2 linked regions of the Tamandua tetradactyla genome follow. The protein of the gene in region 1 interacts with the protein of each later gene in a pairwise test. Links are inferred from orthologs where the notes say so. Each region holds a gene or a part of one and is shown on either strand. Other genes may lie near its edges.

Region 1 (10,465 bases):
CTAGAATGCTTGCCTTCCACGTGGGAGAGCTGGGTTCCATTCCAGCATCATGCACCCCTCCCCACCCCGAAAAAAATGATGGAAACATGTTTCTTATTCAGATCAGGAGACGCAATATAACAGAGTAGTGAGTTGTTTTTGGTTTGCCCAGTTAATAGAACAGAGTTGATATCCTAACTCTGCTACTTTCTAGCTATGGGCAAGTAACAGTAGCTAGTACATTTACAAATAGTAGGTATTCATACGTTGAATGAATGAATAAGCAAATGATTTAAACTTCTCTGTATCTCAGTTTTCTTATCTGTAAAGTAGGGTTAATTGGACCTTTTCAAAGGGCTGGGCTGTGATGATTAAATATAAACACATGCAGTGTAACACTGTTATAAACTACCAAATCATAATTCTTCGACTCCTTTTATTTAAACCTATGATTTTCAATTTACTTACTGTTTATTTTTCATAGACTTAAAGCCTCTGAATTGTTCCTATGCCAGCCAGAGGTACTCCAAGAATGATAACCAGTTTTATTATTCTAACCCATAACTTTGAGGCCCTTTTTCAGCATGGAAAAGTCAGAACGATTGTTGCCCAGAAAGCCCTCAAGATTGAGGAATGATTACAAACAAAAGTGAGGCATTGTAACTGAGAAATTAAGAATTAACAAATGTTCATGATTATTGACTCACTATAGTTTTTTTTTTCCTTCTAGCATATTGTAGCATACCCAGAAGTTAATACCTGAAACTAATCTCAGCTTTATTTATTGTACTGTTGTGATGGTTATTCCAGCCTAGTCTCAGCTCTATTCGTGATGGCTGCTCTAGTCCAGTATCAGCCCTGCATCTACCTGCTACTGTAATGGTAACAACTCCATGCCCTAAATGCCTATATTAAAAAACAAGCATGGGCAAAACTTGAGAATTTAACTGCTTACCTGGACAATTTATAGAAAGAACAGCAAACTAACCCCAAAGCAAATAAAAGAAGAGAAATAATAGAGACTAAAGCAGAAATAAACAAACTGGAGAACAATAAACAATAGAAAGACTCGACAAAATTAAAAGTTGGTTCTTTGAGAAAATTAATAAAATTGATGGTTTTTATTCATTATTTGCAGAAGACATGATCCTATCTATACTTAAAAAACTTGAGAAATCTACAGTAAAATTACTTGAGCTAATAAAAAAATTCAGCAAGGTGGCAAGCCAGAAGATTAATATACAAAAACCTGTAATGGGCTGACCAGTGAAACAGAACTGAGAGTACAGAGATTGAAAGAATAATTTATTCAATAAATGGGCATGGGAGAACTGGATTTCAAAGGCCAAAAGAATGAAAGAGGACCCTTACCTTACATCCTATACAAAAATTAATTCAAAATGGATCAAATGTAAGAGCCAGTACCATAAAATTTCTTGGAAAAAAATGTAGTGAAACATATTCAAGATCTGGTAACAGGAGGCAGTTCTTAAACCTTACACCTAAAGCACAAGCTGTGAAAGAAAAAGCAGACAAACAGGAATGCCTTAAGTTTAAGAGCTTCTGTGCTCCAAAGGATTTTGTTAAAAAGGTGAAGAGGCAGTCAACTCAATGGGAGAAAATATTTGGAAACCACATATCAGATAACGGCTTGATATCCTCTGTACAAAAAGAAATTATACAGCTCACCAACAAAAGAACAAACAACTCAATTATAAAATGGGCAGAGGAAATGGATAGGTACTTTCCTGAAGAGCAAATACAGATGGGTAAAATACACATGAAGAGCTACTCATCCTCACTGGCTGTAAGAGAAATGCAAATTAAGACAACAATAAGATACCTCACATCTGTAAGAATGGCTGGTATTAAACAACAGGAAATTACAAATGCTGGAGAGGATGCAGAGAAACTGGAACACTTATTCACTGTCGGTAGGAATGTAAAATGGTTAAGCTGCTGTGGAAATCAGTTTGGCGATTCCTCAGAAAACTAAATATTGAGTTGCCCTATGACCCGGCAATACCACTACTCGCTATATACCCAGAAGAGTTGAGGGCAGTGACACAAACAAACATTTGCACACTGATGTTCACAGAGGCATTGTGTTAGTTAGATTCAGTTGTCAACTTGGCCAGGTGAGCATACCTAGTCTTGTTGCTGCCATAAGCCAATGGTACGTGAACCTCATCTGTTGCTAATTACATCTGCAGTTGGCTAGGAGGCGTGTCTGCTGCAATGAGTGACGTTTGACTTAATTGGCTGGTGCTTAAATGAGAGATCACAACGTGGCACAGCTAAGCAGCTCGGCATTCCTCATCTCAGCACTTACAGCTCAGCCCAGGCCTTTGGAGATGCAGAAAGAAGTCACCCTGGGGAAAATTGTTGGACCCCAGGAGCCTGGAGTGAAGACCAGCAGAGACTATCCTGTGCCTTCCACGTAAGAACGAACCTCAGTGGAAAGTTAGCTGCTTTTCCTCTGAAGAACCAACAAAATAAATCCCCTTTTATTAAAAGCCAATCCGTCTCTGGTGTGTTGCATTCCAGCAGCTAGCAAACTAGAACAGGCACTATTCACAATTGTCAAGAGATGGAAACAATCCAGGCATCCATCAACAGATGAGTGCATAAACAAAATATGGTATATACACACTATGGAATATTATGTAGCATTTAGACAAAAGTGTCCCAAAACATATGCTGAGTGAAATAAGTCAGACACAAAAGGATACTGTATGATTCCAATATTATGACACTGATAAAGCTGCCAGTGTCTTGGAGCAGCTAGAAGGAAAAATCTGAATTTAGCCCATGACAAACTCTGGGAACTGTTCTGTAGCTGCTTGTTGAAGTGTGCGTCACAAATTTTTGCTTGTTTTCTTTCTTTTCCTTGTGTGTGTGTGCATATATACACATATATATATACTGTATTTTACAACTAAAAATTGGTTTAAAAAAGGTATTTTTCAAAAAAAGTGAATCATGAGGCTTTTACACCACAAGGCTTTGACAATTCATAAGCATTCAATCAAGAGATCATTATTACTTTTGATCTAAATGTCAGTAAATAGCACTCTTCAGGCGGTGGTAACTGTTAGGTGCTACAAAAGTGAGGGGCTATCCCTGCCTTAGAGCAGCTCAATCAACTTGATTTCAATGGTGTATGTGCTTGTTTTGTTATCATCGTCTGTTTTAGTTCTTAATTTGGTGATGAGGAATAAGGAGATGGACTATTTGCTCCTTTCCGCAAACAATCCTCGGATGTGCCCTTCCCAGAAACCTCTCTATCCCACCTGGTGTGAAAAGTGAAGGGCTAAATTCTCAGCTTACTGTTTTTTATTCAGTGAATTCTATATCCCGTTTAGACAGGCAGCATTACAAGATTAAGTTCATGGAAGCAAACACCTAGTCTTTCCGCCTGTTATCAAAGTATATTGAATTGATCCCCTTACGCTATGAATGAGCTCAGGCTGCATTTTTATTTGTCTCGGTGAGAAGGCAGAAGATTTTGATAAGCAGACAAACACAGTAGCTGGACTCATATTAGTGAACATTGTCTTCCTGTGTCCATACAACTTTTATTAATAACACATCTAACAAAAATTCCACTTGCTAAGGTTATACATAAAATAGAGTGAACTCGATACTGTTTACTCAGTTGTCTCACTTGTGAATTATCTAAGATCCATGATTTACCCACTTCTCATTTCTTCTGTTCTTTCCTAAACCCGATTTCAACCCGTTTCCCTTTTTTTGGCTTTTCTGGATCTGGTATCTAATCCTTCATCTGGTACTTAATCCTCACTGCATGAGTCATTTGCATCAAGTACCTTTATTTGCATAATGATACTGGAAGCTAAAGTTATGTTTCTAGGCTACCTCTCCTAATCATATTTTGGATCAAGGAATGTAAAATGATTTTAATATAAACTGAAACACTGTGCACCTAAAAATGTGAACCTTCGGGGTAAGGTGAACCCATCTATCAAGGATGTTTTCAACAGCGGCCCCGGGGAAGTCCTCTTGCTCGCTTTAGTCGCAGTCAACCCGCCCGAGCCATCGGACCCGGGCGCTGAGCACGCAGGTCCGCAGGGGCGCGGGGCAGCATCGGCCGAACCCGAGACGGCTCGAGGGTCTCTCCGGGCCACTCGGAACTCTACTCCAGGAGCCGCCACAGGACCTACCTCCTCACACACCGTGGAAAAGCGGTTGAGGAACTGGACTGTGTGCACCACAAACTGATTCAGAAACGCCACCGTTCTTTTCTGCTGGATAGCGGGCACCTGCGTGGCGCGGAGACAAACAGGACGCGGCGTGAGGCGCCGGCCACGCCTTCGCAGGCACCCCCTGGAGCCCTCAGAGCCGCTTCCTCAGTTTCCCCGGACAGCGGGGCGGGGGTCCGAAGAGGACAGAGGCTGCGGGCAAGTGGCGGAACGGGCTCTGGAGTCTCAGTACCTCGGACAGAAAGAACGTCCGGCGCCGAGCTCAAGGGGCCCTCGGGCGACCCGGGAAGCGGGGGCTGGGGGAGCGACCCCATCCGCTTCGTGGGGTCGGGGGCCCCACTGCGAGGCGGGCTGCGGGGCTGTGCCTCCCCAGGCCGGCAGAGGCCGAGGCTGGGGCCAGGGGCGGTGCGGCCTGCGGGCGGGGGCTTCTGCCCGGGGCCGGGCTCCCTCCCCATCCGCCTCCCCGGGCGCCGGAAGTTCAGCTCTGTGTTTTACAAACCTTGGTCAGGTCTAGGCCCGACCCCATGAGAGGAAGCCCGTCCTCATCCATCTCCTCGGAGGGTGGGGGGCCCCCGGGCTCCCTCGTAAAGCCCTCCCCGCTGGGACCCACCCAACACGGGCCTCACGTCGGGCACTTCCCGAACGCCGCCTTCCGGGGCCGGCCCGCCGGAAGGAAAGCCTCCGGGCGCCAATCACGCGGCAGGTCCCGGAAGGCCCGCCCCCTCGCTCGGCATTCTGGGACTGGTAGTTCCAGGGCCGGGTTGTGACGTCGCCCACGGGCGCGCCGAGTGGAGCTGGGCTGCGGAGACGTCTCGAAAACGGACGGGGGTGAAGAAAGAAAGGAGTCGGGGGTTGTGTCGGTTTGAGGTCTGTCCTGCGTAGTCTGGCCTGCTATGTAAATAGCTGTTCCGCCATTCGTTGAACAAATATGTATTTTCGGTCTACTCTGCTAGGTCCTGTGGGGACGCAAAGACGGAGACGAATTATGCTCTGAGGGAGGTAAGACCTGCCCCTGTGGGACTTCACAGCAGAAAATCAAATGTCACTTGCCACGTGGGAGGAATAAAGCAATGGAAATGGCTTCTTTAGATCGCGGAAAAGGTCACCTGGGAATGAGCTCTGACACTGAAATGTGAAGCTTTTGACTGCAGTGTAGCAGCTGTGTGACTTAGGACGGTCACCTCACCCAAAGCTTCGGCTTGTCCCGTGAAGCAGGCACGATGCTGAGGACGGAGAAGGTGACAGGAACCACAGTCTCTGCCCTCAAGAAGGTTATGACTCGGCTGTGCAGAATCTGGAAGAGCAGCTTCCGGACGGACAGGCCGACACAGTCCTGTGAGAGCTGCGCAGACGCACGTGGCCGGGATCGGAGTGCTGTGCGGCCATAGACGCAGGCTCGCCGCGGTGCGCTGAGAAAATAGAGGGAAGGAGCTGGGGAGCAGCTGCTTAACGCTGAGCGGGCTTGGCCTGCCAGACACGTGGGGTGGGAGGCCTGCGGGAGTGCGGCGCGGCCCTTAAGGAAAGGGAGTAGTGTTTGGTTCTATTGAAGCACGAAGTTCCAAATGGAGAATGATAGGAAATGAGACTGGATTCATAGAAACACACTCATTAAGGGCGTTTTGTGTCAGCTTTGATCCTATAGGCAGTGGTTCTCACAGTGACCGTGCAAATGGACAATCTAAATCAATATTTGCAAGGGGGTGGTGCTTCTTAATTGCATATTCCAGGGATTAATCCCAAATAAACCGAATAAAAGGTGCTGGGGGATGAGACCTAGAAAACTGCATTTTAAGTAACTCCTTAGGGATTATTCTAAACTGAAAGGTTTGAAAATTGCTTCTATATGTGATGAGGAGTAAGCGAAAGAAGTTAAGCAGGAAACAGGATTTGGAATTTGGAAAAGGGTAAGCAGTGACTAGCACATAGATACTTAATAAATGCTGGAAACAGAAAAGTTGAGAATAGTGTTTGTACACATCAATAATGGGAGGTAGAAGTGAGGAAGGATAGGACAAATAATTTTAAATGCATATCACTCTCCTTTGAAATGAAAATTCAGTTTTAATACACAGTTTTGAGGGCTAAGTATGATCCAGGCATGTTGGAATGTGTTGAAGAGTTATCCATTCAATCAACAGATAGTCCCTACTATGTGCTGTTATGAGTTGGGGATACTGCACTGATTAGAACTGCCCCCAAATTCCTGCCTTCATAGAAGTAAACAGATTATATGGAAAGCAAATCGATATTAAATTGTTTCCAGTCCAGGAATGGAGAAAGAAAATTGAAAAGAGAATAATAGTGTGATAGAGGCTAGGCTAAAGTATGCTGTGAAGAGGAGTACTTAACCCAGTTTGATGAAATTTGAGCTAGCTCCCTGGATGCATGATTTGAAAATGCAAAAGTTATCAAGGTGAAGGAGTATGGGAGGGGCATTCCACAAAGGGGAACAGGCTATGCAAAAGAACTGAGATTGAGCCCTAGAAAGCTACATGCTCACCTACTACCCACCTTTGACGGGAGGAAGACCACCACCTACTCTTTTTTTAAAAATATATTTTTATTGAGATATCTTTATGCACCAGACAGTCCATACAAAGTATACAATCAATGGCTCACAACATCACATAGTTGCATATTCATCACCATGATCATTTTTAGAAAACTTGCACCACTACAGAAAAAGAAATAAAGGGGGGGGGGAACCCATACATCCCATACCCCTTACCCCTCCCTCTCATTGACTACTGGCATTGCAATCTACCCAAATTTTTTACCTCTTATCTCCCCTATTAATTTGTCCTTATTTTCTTTTTATTCATTTGCCTATAACCTGGATAAAGGGAACATCAGCTACAAGGTTTTCATAATCACACAGTGACATTGTAAAAGCTCTATAGTTATACAATTGTCTATAAGAATCAAGGCTGTTGGACCACAGTTCAACAGTCTCAGGTACTTCCCTCCAGCCCCTTCAAAACACCATAAACAAAAAAGGGATAGCTATATAATGCATAAAAATAACCTCCAGAATGACCTCTCAATTCTTACTTGAAATCTCTCAGCCACTGAAACATTTAGTCTCATTTCTCTCTTTCCCCTTTTGGTCAAGAAGGTTTTCTCAAACTCATGATGCTGGGTCCTGGCTCATCCTGGGAGTTCTGTCCCATATTGCCAGGGAGGGAGATTTACACCCCCTGGGAGTCATGTCCCACATAGGGAGGAGGGCAATGAGGTCACTTGCCGATTTGGCTTAGAGAGAGAAAGAGAGAGAGAGAGGCCACATCTGAGCAACAAAAGAGGTTCTCTGGGGGAGACTCTTGGGCATAATTATAAGTAGGCTTACCTTCTGCTTTGTAGGAATAAGTTTCACAGGGGCAAGCCCCAAGAAAGAGGCTTGGCCTATTAAATTGATTGTGAGAACATCAGCAATCCCCTAGGTGGGAGATATGAATATTCCCTCCTTTCTCCCGGGTCCCCCAAGGGGACTTTGCAAATACTTTTTTATTCTCTGCCCAAATTATACTACCACCACTTACTCTTTCCAGAGCTTTGCCTACTCCTAGAGTCCCCACCCTTTCCTCTTCCAATGCCATTCTGTGCCTTGAGTTCATCACAATTAGTTCTGGACCCCGAAGTCATCTTTTAGCCTCAGACTCCCATCCTCATTCAACTTTCTATGTTGCCTTTTCTGACTCGTCCCCAACTCCTAGTCCCTACCTCTGTGCTCTGTGAATCTCAGGCTTTAGCAATCCCCGCATTTTCTCTTCCTCTTCTTTGATCATTCCCCTCCCAGAGCAGAATACCCAGCCGGTCAGCCTAGCTTTCCTGTCCACTGCTTCCCAGTTAAGGGGGCAAAAAAAACCTAATTACCTTATGATTTCATGGTGAAGTACAAGTAGCAGGCATGTGTGTGTGCGTGTGTGTGTGTGTGTGTGCGCACGGCACATGCATGCTGATTTGAAAGTATTACATACCACAGAAAAGCCCTGTTTTAGTCCTGATCCAATCATGAGGGGACAGCTGTTTCTTTTATCCTAATTCAATACTCTAGGTGGAAACTCTATTAGATCATCTCCATAAAGATGCGGCACACCCAATTGTGGGTATAACCTTTTGATTACGTGGAGATGTGACTGCACCAATTTCAGGTGGGTCTTGATTGGTTTACTGGAGTCCTTTAAAAGAGGAAACATTTTGGAGAGAGTTAGAAATAACGGAAGTGACAGAAGCCACACTTGAGAACAGAGACACGGATGTTTGGAGATGCTTGGAGCCCAGCTGATGTCACCATGAGATGTTAAGCCAGCTAGAACCTGGAGAGAGCCAAGGGAAGCTAATAAATTAAAGCCAGCCCTGGAGAAGCAAACTTAGGAACCCCACAGGAACAGAGGCTGAAAAGGAAACGGAGCCCAGAAGTAAGAGACCAGCAGATAGATGCCAGCCACTTGCCTTCCCAGCTGACAGAGCTGTTCCTGACCCATCGGCCTTTCTTGAGTAAGGTAACCTCTTGTTGGTGCCTTAATTTGGACACTTTCATTTCCTTAGAACAGTAAACCTGTACTTATTAAATTCCCTTTTTAAAGCTGTTCCATTTCTGCTATAGTGCATACTGGCAGCTTACAAACTAACAGTGTGTATATTATATATGTACACATACATACATATACACACATATCAAATTAAACTATAAAAACATGGGCTTGTTCTCAGTTGGTCAAGTGACCAAAATTAAAAAAAAAGTAATTTGGTTCCTTCAAAAAAAGAGACAAATATGCTACAAGATGTAAGCTATAGTTATGAAAGAAGAGAGGCAGTTTCTTTCTGCCTCCTAGGATTCTTGATGATTTTAATTAATCAGTCATCCATAGTTCCTGACAGCAGTGCCATTCACATTTTAATAACAGAATTTCCAGGACTATTAAAAATCTTTAACTAGGAGTCTTGACCAAATGCTGGAAGGTTTCTGAAATATGTACTTTTTCCTCCAGGCTTTCTTTCATTGGAAATGTATTACCAGATTTCATTTATATAGGAATAACAAGTAGATTGTTATGAATATCGATTTCAAAGGGCAGAGACTATACATACCACTTGTATATATTCATTCAATAGAAATCTTAAGGATTTTTCAATAGTTTTCTGTTTTCATAGCAGATTACTATAAATTGATGTTATTTAATTTTATCATGCATAAATTCTTTATTTTTGTCACATATTATTGAGATATATTCATTTATCATATATTTTATCCAAATCATATAATCAGTATCTCACAGTGTCTTCACTGAGTTGTGAAATCATCACATTCACTTTTAGACCATTTTTATTACTCCAAAAAGAAAATTATCAGAGATACACAAAAAGAAAACCCCAAACATCCTATATCCCTCATCTCCCCTATTATTGACCCTCATATGTATGGCACCAGCCACTATTGATGAAATAACTTCAAGTTATTACTGTTACCTACAGTCTGCAGCTTTCAGTAGGCACTCTTACCACACATACCATTCTATTATTAACTTTTTGTACAAGTATTGTACATTGTAATGAGAATTGGGTTCCTGTTTTTCCTTTATGTTTCTCCCCACTCTGCTTCAGGGTAGAACAGAGAGGCATGGTGTTGTTCATAATAGTGGGGAAGTATAATTAAATTTCAAATATCCCTGATCCCTACCTGTCCCTCAGAAGCAATACAAATCATCTCTTAGGACTTGGTTAAATAAAGGCACTCTAGAATAGGTATTTTACTTTACTTTTTCAGTCTGCTTCCTTTAATTGTTCTGGTTTTCCTAACTTCACTCCGCAAGTTAGGTTATAGGCTTATAACCTCTAGGAAGGAGACTGGATTCCTCAGCATACCTCAAGAGAACAGACCTAAAGCTATGCAGTTAGGTGTCCCTGGTTGTGCTGGTTTGAAAGGATTATGTGCCCTAGAAAAGGCATGTTTTAATACCGTTCCATCTTGTGGAAGTGGCCTTTTTTTAAAAATCCCTATTCAGCACTGCGGGTTGGAAACTTGATTAGGTTATTCCACGGAGATGTGACACACCCAATTGTGGGTATTAACCTTTGATTAGAGGGAGATGTGACTCCACCCATTCCAGGTGGGTCTTGATTAGAGGAAGCACTTTGGAAAGAGTGTTAGAACCACAACGGAGCCACGAGAACCTTGAGAGCCCACGCAGCCAGAGACCTTTGGAGATGAAGAAGGAAAACGCCCCTGGGGGAGCTTCATGAAACAAGAGGCCTGGAGAGAA
Region 2 (11,133 bases), on another chromosome or scaffold:
AGTAAATAGGAAGACCCTCCCTGAGGTGGGAATGTGCCAGAGGGAACTCAGTGAGCAAGAAGAAAATAGCAGGAAGTGAGGTGGAAGGAAGGGATAGAATATGAAGTCTTCTTGGTTTCATTCCGAATGTAGTGAGAACTAAAGAGGTGGTCAGCAACAGAGTTCTTTAATTTTGAGCCATGGGGTCATATTGTTAGTTCAAAAAATTAAATTTTGAAAGAAAGAGAAAGAGAATGGGATAATTTCCCAACACCGTGAAATGTGGGGCCTGGATTGAATCTATGTCTGCCTGTTCCCAAGCCCCAGGATGTGCCTCAGACACAAAAGAACAAAGGAGACACATGACCTTTCTGTAGTTTTTTCACCATTTCCATCAAGTCTTCAATTTTCCTTGAGGACTTGGCCTGCCCTGTGGAAACAAAATTTAAAAATTCAGAATCTATTAAGAGTAAGAGGCCTGAATGCAGGTCAGACAGCTCTGGGTGGGGGTTAAGGTAATCTGAGGACAGGTGTCCAGCCAAAGTCCTGAAGTGGTCAGGGCACCAAAGATGATTCAGGGGCCCTTAATGGTCAGCTATTCCCCAAAGGGTGAAATGATACCACAGATATCCCCTAAATAAAACTCAGAGTCAAGGAAAGATGACAGCACCTCACTGCTGATGCCAGTCAGGGTTGTTCAAAGCTTACTAATGTAATAATGCAAGAAAAAATGTGGGGGCGGGGGGAATAAAAAAATGGAAACAAGGAGTCAAAAATACTAAAACTAGCAATGACATGTCAATTAGAAAGTTCTAGAAAACCATATAAAGCATCATAAGGACTAGGAAGGAAATTTAATAAGATAATATATATATAAATAGCTTTCCCATATAAATAAAAAATGATTATAAAACCTCTCTGAAACATCTCATTAACAAATTTTAAAAGATCAATATAGATACTGATTTTAAAATTCTTAATGAATGATTAGATCTAGACAGTGATTATTAATGGCCAATAACTTTACAATAAAAATAACCAAACATTGTGAAATACCCATTAAGGATTACTGCCAAATAAATGAAACCTACAAGTCATTAAGCCAGTAGATCTGAATACCAGTTCCATGAAGACAGGGATGAGGAATGTGTTAAATGACATATGGGAATGCAATTAGCAGCATGCAGAACTATGAGAAATGTCACAGAGCAAACTATCTGTCTTTTTCTAAACAAATAAATTTGAAGGAGAAAAAAGAGCAAAAGGATGATCCTAACAGATTAAAAGGGATGTAAGAGACAAATCCAAAATTCACATGGAAGAGCAAGGGACTCAGAAGAGCCAGTCTTCAAAAAGAAGAACAAAGTCATAGAACACACATTTCCTGATTTCAAAACTTACTACAAAGCTACAGTATTCAAAACAGTATAGTACTGGCATAACTACAGACATATTGACAAATGCAATAGAATTCAAAGGCCAGAATTAAACCCACACATTTATGACCAACTGATTTTGGACAAGGATGCCAAATATATTCAATGGGGATATAATAATCTTTTCAACAAATGGTGCTGGGAAATCTGGATGTACAAATAAAAAAAAATAAAAAAAGAATCCCTACTTTACACCATATATAAAATTTAACTCAAAATGTATCAAGGACCTAAATATATGAGCTAAAACCAGAAAACTCTTAGAAAAAAACATAGGGGAAAATCTTTGTGACCTTGAATATGGCAATAATTTCTTAGGTGTGACACCAAAAGCACAAGGAACAAAAGAAAAAAAAATACATAAAACAGACTTCATCAAAATTAAAAACCTCTGTGCATCAAAGGACATTATCAAGAAAGTGAAAACAGTCTAAAGAACAGAAGAAATTAGTTGCAAATACTGTACAACTACAACTTAACAAAAAGGCAAACATCCCAGTTGAAAAAAGGGCAAAGGGCTGGAATAGACATTTTCCAAAGAAGATATAAAAATGGCCAACAAGAACATGAAAAGGTACCCAACATCATTAATCATTATGTAAATGCAAATCAAAACCACAAGGAGATACACCCAGTAGGATGGCTAGAATTCAAAACATGAAAAATAAGAAGTGTTGGATGTGCAACAAGGATGTAAAAAAATTTGAACCTTCCTGCATTGCTGGTAGGAACGTGAAACACTGCAGCCATTGTTGAAAACAGTTTGTCAGATCCTCAAAAAGTTAAAATATGACCCAGAAATTCCACTTCTAGGTATATATCCAAAAGAATCAAAAACAAGGACTCAGATATTTACCTGTTCCATAAATGTATAAACATTTACCAATGTATATGTTGAATATGGCAGTAATTTTAATATTATGTTGTGAATAATAGCAGCATTATTCAAAAAAGACAAAAGATGGAAACAGCCCAAGTGTTGATAGATGAATGGATAAACAAAAGTGGTATAGACAGTTGATGGAATATTATTCAACCATAAAAAGGAATAAAGTTTCTTATACATGCCATGGTTGAACCTTGAAAATATTATGCTAAGTAAAATAAGACAGACACAAAAGGGCAAATATTGTATGATCCACTTACATGAAATATCTGGAATAAGCAAATTCATGGAGACAGAAAATCAAATACAGATTACTAGGGGATAGAGGAAGGGAAATTGGAGGTTATTCTTAATGGGTACAGAGTTCGCATTTGGGGTGTTGACAAGGTTTGCCCATGGATGGTAGTGATGGTAATACATTATAAGAATAATTACTGCCATTGGATTGTACACTTATAAGAGGTTAACAGGGCAAATTTTATGTTAATTATATGTTACTACAATTAAAAAAATTAAAACCAAACACTTGTACAGTATGAGCCCTCTCCTTTTAACTTTTTATTTTGAAATAATTTCAAATTTATATGAAAATTGCAGAAGTAGGACACAGAGATCCTTTATACCCTTCACCTCAATTTCTCACTGGCTAATATTTTTGAATCTTTGACAATAAGATGCACACACAATGTCCCATTACCCTTTAATACTCCACTGTGAAGTTCTGAAGGTCAAGAACATTTTCCTATGTGGAAACTACAATACAACAATCAAATCCAAGAAATTAACAGTGTTATTAATATCTGATCTTTAAATACCATTAAAAAATTTCTCTTTCTCCTTTCCACTTTAAAATTCCACAAGTACTACCCACATTTCCCTAACAGAAAAATCAAACAATGACATTGAAAATGTCCCTCCACTTCTGCACACACACCCGCAAATCCAAATCCCCTTCCCAGAGTCATCAATTAGGAACATAGGTCTCAGCAGACACTTTCCTGTGAAATGGAAACTGGGGTACAATTAACACAATTTTCCAACTTGCTTTCTTCTCATATCTTTTAACTTCCTGTATCCATTATAAATATATATAATGTAAAAATTAAGTCCAATACATTTGACTTTAATTATGTTTCTTCCTCATTTTAGAAATCTAATGCCCAGGTATTTCATGGTGTGCATGTGTATACTTGGATTTAGCCATTCCATTCCCATGTTTTGCTATGAAGAGCAAGGCTCCAGCACTGTTTTTGGTACATGGATCTGTGTCTTGTGTGATCCCTAGGAAGGTGACTTTCTCAAGAGAAACCTGACTAACACAGTGACTAAAAGGCAAACAAGTTATTTAAATGCTAAAAATTTTACCAGACGGGCTACTGCATAGTCTTTACCTACTGTTTTTCCCACCAGCTTGTATGTGAAGACCTGTGACACTAGATAGCACCCCTGCTCTCTTTGAAACAATCTGATGAACTGAAAACAGAATCTCACTTTCTTTTAAATTTCTTCCATTGATGGTAAAGTTGATTAAATCTTCATGCAAATATGTCAGCTTATTTGAGGAACTGGAAAGAGAAATACCAAAAGTCTTCTTTAGGACAGTGGCAATCACTGCAGCTGCATAATAAAAGGGATATACATGCATCTGTCTTGTTTCTTTTCTGTTGTCCTTAGAGGAGGGCTGTGGTAGGGTGCCATGCTGTATCCTAAGCCAGCTTTGTGCTAAACTCACCTCACTGTTCAAATATTTATGTGTAAATGTGCGAAGCAGGCTCTGTTGTAAGCAAGTTCGGAGGGAGCGACCGCCACCTGCATTGACAAAGCACCTCAATGTGCCTGAACGGGTGGAGCGCGAGCCAACCTGACAGGGTCAACAAGTGACCTCATGTGGGAGTCACTGCACAATTCCATGTTACATACATCTGAAATCCCCACAAAACACCCAATAGCAGGGGGAGAAGTTTTCAATTCTCTACTCTGCTGGGCTGCGATCTCTGAACTTCTGAACAAATTAAAGGGGCTGCCATGTCCCTCTTTCCCTGGACAAGGGGAGTGCCGTCACTCTGGTCAGTGTCAGGAAGAAAAGAGGGACTCCGTGGGAGGAAATCCACGTGTAAGAGCCACTATGGGATAAAGAGGAGAATTTGGATACCGGTTGGTTGTGAGATGAAGATAACGGGAATTATTCATTCCCTTAAGTGCGGCAGGAGAAGAGAGAGTTCTTTATTTTAAGAGGTACGAACGGAAATTCTTAGGAAAGAAATGAAACGACGTCTTGAGCAAAATCTGGATCAAATAATGAGTTAAATCCAGGTGGGAGGAATGTGGGTAAATGTGCCTCCCATTTGTGGAACAGCCGAGGCTTCCCACAAACGTGGCTTCCATCTGGAGAGAGCAGGGGATGCCTCCCGCCCCTCCGCCGGCGCCTGGTGCCCCGAGCCCCTTCCCAAGCCCAGTTCCCAAGGAGGGCCTCGCCGCCTCCACACCACTACCTCCAGCTGGCTCCACGCTGTCCACGGCTCCTGTGGGCTCCGCGCTCGAAGGCCCCGACCTTCCCGCCATTTCCGCCATTTCCGTCCTACCCGTTGGTGCCTCACGTGATGATTGGGCCCCACCCTCGTGGGGGCGGGACGGCCGCAGCACGCCTGCGCAGTGCAGCCTCAGGAGCCGAGGGTGTTGGTTCCGGGCCTGCGCGAGGGCCGAGCCAGCACTGGCCAGTTGACAGTCAGTGTCCTGCGCATGGACACTACTGCCGGCCGCGCCAATCTTCCACGCTGGTGTTGCACTACTGTGCATGTGCGCAGCTCTCTGCCCATATTCTTCCTCGTGGGTGGTATCTTCATTCCGTGCGTGAAAATTCTGGACTTCAGCACGGCTCAGACATGACGAGTGTTCTGCCCGGACCATACAGGCCAGAATGTACCTGTCTCACCTTATCAGTCTTTAAACCACAAGCTCTGATGGCGCTGCCTCTCGGCAGGAGCAGAGGAAGCAGAGGAACGCGGGAGGGACGAAGGAACACCCGAATTGGAAGTTCAGTCAGAAGGCCGAGCCCTGGTGCAGGGCTAGAGAGTCAGGCGCGAGACATCATCCAGTGGGCATGCAGAGGAAGGGAAATGGGGTCCAAAGTTTCCACAAGCCAGGCGCGTGCCTGGGGGTCCTGACGTTCACCTGGTGCATGGTCCCCCTGCCATGCATCCCCCCATCAGCGTCGGCCACAGGGTCCCGGACACCCCCATGCTGGGTCTGGAGAGAGGGGCTACGAACAGAAAGCCCTTGGCTCCCCACTTGGCCCCCATGAGCTTCCCTCTGGAAACCCGGCAAGTAGCTGCCTGGGGTCAGACTCCTGGGCAGTGGTGCAGTGCTTCAGCAGGTTGTGGAGCGTGTCCTCCTTCATGTGGTGCAGGAGGTGGTCACCTGGGGCCTGAGGCAGGTGGAGCTCCAAGGAGGAGATCACCGGCAGGGCTGGGAGAGGGATGAGGATTAGAGGGTGGCAGAGCCACCCCAACCCCTTCTAGGGCTGCCTCTTGGCCATGCCTGGAGGTTAAATTAATGTTTCTGCACGTTAGTTAATTAACGTAGATTGTGGGACCTGGGTGTGAGTGGTACAGGATTGAAGGACCTCAATCTGCTCATCTGTGGGCTGCAGTCACCTGACACTTAACAAATGTTCTAAGAGCACCCCCCCCCAGCTTTCCATATATGTAGGTTAGACTAATATGCAACTGCAGGTAGCACTTATCAAACATTGTCCAGTTGTTCCAGTACCATTTATGAAGAGACTATTCTTTCCCCATTAAGTGGACTTGACACCCCTGTCATGTGTGGATTTACTTCTGAACTCAATTTTATTCTAGTGCTCAATAGGCATGTCCTTGTGCCAGTACAACACTGTTTTGTACTGGCACAAGGGCATAGTTTGTATTAAGTTTTGAATTGCTAGATATAGCAATTCAATTGCTAGGTATAGAATCCTTAGCTGGCAACTTTTTTTTTTTTTTACTGAACTTTGTTATCCCCTTGCTTTTTGACCCCAATGGTTTCTGATTAGAAATTGGTACTTAATCTTACTGAGGGAGCCTTGTACATGATATATTACCTCTCTGTTGCAGCTTTAAGGATCCTCCTTTTTTTCCTTTGGCATTCAGCAATTTAATTACAGTGTGTCTTGTGGCTCTCTTTGGGTTTATCCTGTTTGAAGTTCATTGTGATTGTCTCTCATTAAATTTGGGAAGTTTCTTGAATGTTCTTTCTGCCTCCTCTCTTTTTCTCCTTCTGTGATTCCCATAATACTTATAGTGATGTTTTAGTTTGTTAATGCAATGTGCCAGAAATGGGTTGGCTATTATAAAGAGAATTTATTAAGTTACAAGTTTATAGTCCTAAGGCCATAAAAAAAGAGATGAACTAAGGTATCCAGAGAAAGGTAACTTGACTCAAGAAAGGCTGATCTGGGAAGACGTGTGGCTGACATCTGCTGGCCGTTCAGCTTTTGGTTTCAAATGACTTAGCCAGGGGCATTTTCTTTCTGCATCTCCAAACGTCTTTGTCTATTGGCTTTGAAGCTTTTCCCAAAATGGTTCCTGCTTAGAGGACTGCAGTGAGCACGCCACCTTGAATGGGTGGAGTACATCTCCATGGAAACCACATAGTCAAAGCATCCCACCCACAATTGTGTGGATCACATCTCCATGGAAACAACTTAATAAAAAAGATCACACCCAACCATATTAAATAACATGGTTTTTCTGGGGTACACAACATTTTCAAACTGGCACAATTGGTATGTTTGATGGCCTCCTACTGGACTCTTAGGCTTTGTTCAGTTTTCTTTGTTTCTGCTCCTTAGATTGTACAATATTAATTGTCACATCTTCAAGTTCACTGTTTTTTTCTTCTGCCAGCTCCAATCTGCTGTTGAACCACTCTGAGGAATTTTTAATTTTAGTTATTATGGTTTTCAGCCCTAGTATTTATTTTTTTTTAACTTTTTTATTGTGTAGTATAACATATATACAAAGAAATAAAAAAGCAATAGTTTTCAAAGCATTCCTCAACAAGTAGTTACAGGTCAGATTCCAGAGTTTGCCATGGGCTACCATACGATCCCCTCAAATTTTTCCTTCTAGCTACTCCAGAATATAGGAGGCTAGAAGGCTTAAATATTTGTTTTATTATCACAATTGATTATTTTTCCTTTTTTGTGAAAAATAACATATATACAAAAAAGCTATAAAATTCAAAGCACAGCACCACAATTAGTTGTAAAACATGTTTCAGAGTTTAACATGGGTTACGATTCCACAATTTTAGGTTTTTACTTCTAGCTACTCTATAATACTGGAGACTAAAAGAGACATCAATTTAATGATTCAGCATTCGTATTCATTTGTTAAATCCTATCTTCTCTGTATAACTCCACCATTACCTTTAATCTTTCCAACCCTCTCTTTAGGGTTGTTTGGGTTATGGTCATTCTAACTTTTTCATATTGGAAGGGTCTGTTACTAATATGGGGTAGGGAGATGGAACTATCTGATGTTCTGGAGAGGCTGGGCCCTCTAGGTTTCAGGACTTATCTGGACCAGGGACCCATCTGGAGGTTGTAGGTTTATGGAAAGTTACTCTAGTGCATGGACCCCTTGTGGAATCTTATATATTGCCATAGGTGTTCTTAAGGATTGGCTGGAATAGCCTTGGTTGGAGGTTGACAGGTTATGATAGGTAGCAAGGTCTAACTGAAGCTTGCATAAGAGCAACCTCCAGAGTAGTCTCTCGACTCTATTTGAATTCTTTCTACCACTGATATTTTACACTTCTTTCCCCCCTTTTGGTCAGCATGGGATTGTTGATCACATCATGCCAGGACCAGATTCATCCCTGGGAGTCATCTCCCACATTGCCAGGGAGACTTTCACTCCTGAATGTCATATCCCATGTAGAGGGGAAGGTAATGATTTCACTTGCTTAGAGAAAGTGAGGCCACATCTGAGCAACAAAAGAGGTCCTCCAGTAGTAACTCTTAGCATGCCTATAGGTAGTCTAACCTTCTCTGCTACATACCTAAGCTTCACAAGAGTAAGCCTCATGATCGAGGGCTTGGTCTATTGAGTTGGGTGTCCCTAAAATTTGACACAGTATAATGACACTCCCTGATGGTAAGATTTAATAGTTTCATATTCTTTCTTCCCTCCTTCAGGGGACTTTACCAGTACTTTTTGATTATCTGCTTAATATACTCTAGGATGTATCCAGGCATTACAATATTCTGTACAAGATTATAGGCCCTCTTTCTTATTCTGGGCTCCTGGTTTTTTAATTGTTGAAATGAGTTATACAGATCGGTTGAATTAGATTATGCCCTACATAAAATTTCGGTTCCATTGGTCTCAAAGACTATGTGTGCATCTAAAATATAAACACTGTCTTCCTTACCCCTATTTTCTAAATTACTTTAACCCAAATCTGTTCAACTTCTTTCTTATCTCTAAACATCAGGTTATATATATAAAACAGCCTCTTAAAATACAGAAATAATAATCACCACTCTGGACTTAATGTGTCTGCTCTAAAGCTTATAATCTAGGCCCCTGTGTTCTTATAAACATTTACTAAAGGTGACCATACCATTCTTATTCTTTTGTTTCTGGCTTATTTTGTCTCACCAAATGTCCCACATGTTCATTCACATTGTTGCATGCCTCAAGACTTTGTTCCTTTTTGTAACAGCACAACCTTCATTCATAAGTATACACCATTGATCGCCAATCCACTTCTCCATCAGTGCATCCTTCAGCCACCTGCATTCATCGGGCATCATGTAGAAGGTCCAAAGTCCATGGTCGATCAACATTCTCAATTTTAGATAAATTTCATTGTTCCCAAAGTAAAGAAAACCAATAAACACACCCTCATCAAATAAGAAATCTAAACCTCCTCTTAAGTCTTGTTCCTCCCCCCATTATTTACCTCTGCTGTTGTTGTGGTAGTACTGATGATTTCCTTTTGAACGTAATCTGTAGCACAAAGTAGCAGTTTTCCCCCATACCCTGGACTTAAACACTCTTTGTACAAGAATCATAACTCTGAAGTAATTATTGCAAGAACTAATTCATATTTCTAGTGTTAATTAGTGGGACACGTGGGTCTATACAACCCCTTTCAATCTTGTTTATCTTCAATATGATAATATTACATATAGACCCACTAGAGAACCACCTTCTATTCCATTACATTGGAGATCAACCTCATTAGCTAAACGTTCACCCATCTCTAGCTTCTATGTATCTCCAAGCCCCCCATATTCTGTATTATAAGCCTCTAATTTGTCCTTTATTCTGGTCATAAAAGTGTAATCATACACTATCTATCCTTTTGTGTCTGGCTAATTTCACTCAGCATTATGTCCTCAAGGCTCATGTATCTTGTCATGTGCTTCAGAATGTCATTTTGTCTTACTGCTGCATAATATTCCATTGTACATATATATAACATTTTGTTGATCTACTCAACAAAATGTTGCTGGGCCTTTGGTTTGTTTCTATCTTTTCATGAATGTGAATAATTCTGCTATGAGCATCGGTGTGCAAATGTTTTTTGTGTCATTGCTTTCAGTTCTTATGGGTATATATCAAGTAGTTCTATTGGTGGGTCATAGGGCAACTCGATATTTAGTTTCCTAAGAAACCACTGAACAGTCTTCCATAATGGCTGCACCATTATACATTCCCACCAGCAGTGCATAAGTGCCCCAGTTTCTCCACATCCTCTCCAACATATATAGTTTCCTGTTTGTTTAATGCAGTCATTCTTATAGGCATGAGGTGGTATCTCATTGTAGTCTTGATCTGCATTTACCTTATAGCCAATAAAAATGGGCATCTCTTCATGTGCTTTTGAGCCATCTGTATTTGCTCTTCAGAAAAATGCCTATTTATATCTTTAGTCCATTTTATAATTGGGTTGTTTGTTCTTCTGTTGTTGAGTTGTATGATTTCTTTGTACATACAGGGAAATCAAGCCTTTGTATGATATGTGATTTCCAAATATTTTCTCCCATTGAATTGGCTGACTCTTCACCTTTTTGACAAAGTCTTTTGAGATGCAGAAGCACTTAATTTTGAGGATTTCCCATTTATCTATGTTTTCTTTTGTTGCTTGTGCTTTGGGTGTAAAGTTTAGGAAGCTACCTCTTATTACTAGATCTTGAAGAAGTTTCCCTCAATTTTCTTCTAGAAGTTCTTATATTTAGGTGTTTGATCCACTTTGCATTAATTTTTGTGTAGGGTGTAAGGTAGGGGTCCTCTTTCATTCTTTTGGCTATTGATATCCAGTTCTTCCATGCCCAATTATTGAAAAGACTCTTTTGTTCCATTTCAGTGGATTTGGGGGCCTTATCAAAAAGCAGTTGACCATAGATTTGGTGGTCTATTTCTGTACTCTCAATTCTATTCCATTGGTCAATGCTTCTGTCTTTGTGCCAGTACCATGCAGTACCAGTACTATGGCTTTATAAGAGGTTTTAAAGTCAGGGAGTGTTAATCCTCCCATTTTGTTCTTCTTTTTTAGGATGCTTTTAGCTATTCAGAGTCTCTTTCCCTTCCAGATGAATTTGGTAGTTAGCTTTTCTAAATCTTCAAAGTAGGTTGTTGGAAAGAGACTGTGTTGAATCTGTAGAACAGTTTGGGGAGAATTGACATCTTAACTATATTTCACCTTCCTATCCATGGGCAGGGAATGTCTTTCCACCTATTTAGATCTCCTTTGATTTCTTTTAGCAATGTTATGTAGTTTTCTGTTTACAAGTCCTCTACATCCCTAGTTAAGTTCATT

Evidence for each region.
Region 2: the proteins of WASHC3 (region 1) and SYCE1 interact in binary tests that used the Homo sapiens proteins (3 or more experiments, as listed by UniProt). The two-hybrid records come from large-scale screens. The link is inferred for Tamandua tetradactyla from reciprocal best matches to the Homo sapiens genes WASHC3 and SYCE1.

The regions. Positions count from the first base shown.
Region 1 is NC_135333.1:172,201,507-172,211,971, forward strand, and holds the start of WASHC3 (WASH complex subunit 3), read right to left. Parts: upstream 4,888-10,465; 5' UTR 4,753-4,887; coding exon 4,702-4,752; intron 4,263-4,701; coding exon 4,164-4,262; intron 1-4,163. UniProt on the Homo sapiens protein: Acts as a component of the WASH core complex that functions as a nucleation-promoting factor (NPF) at the surface of endosomes, where it recruits and activates the Arp2/3 complex to induce actin polymerization, playing a key role in the fission of tubules that serve as transport intermediates during endosome sorting.
Region 2 is NC_135339.1:96,809,987-96,821,119, reverse strand, and holds the start of SYCE1 (synaptonemal complex central element protein 1), read right to left. Parts: upstream 4,931-11,133; 5' UTR 4,873-4,930; coding exon 4,794-4,872; intron 410-4,793; coding exon 347-409; intron 1-346. UniProt on the Homo sapiens protein: Major component of the transverse central element of synaptonemal complexes (SCS), formed between homologous chromosomes during meiotic prophase. Requires SYCP1 in order to be incorporated into the central element.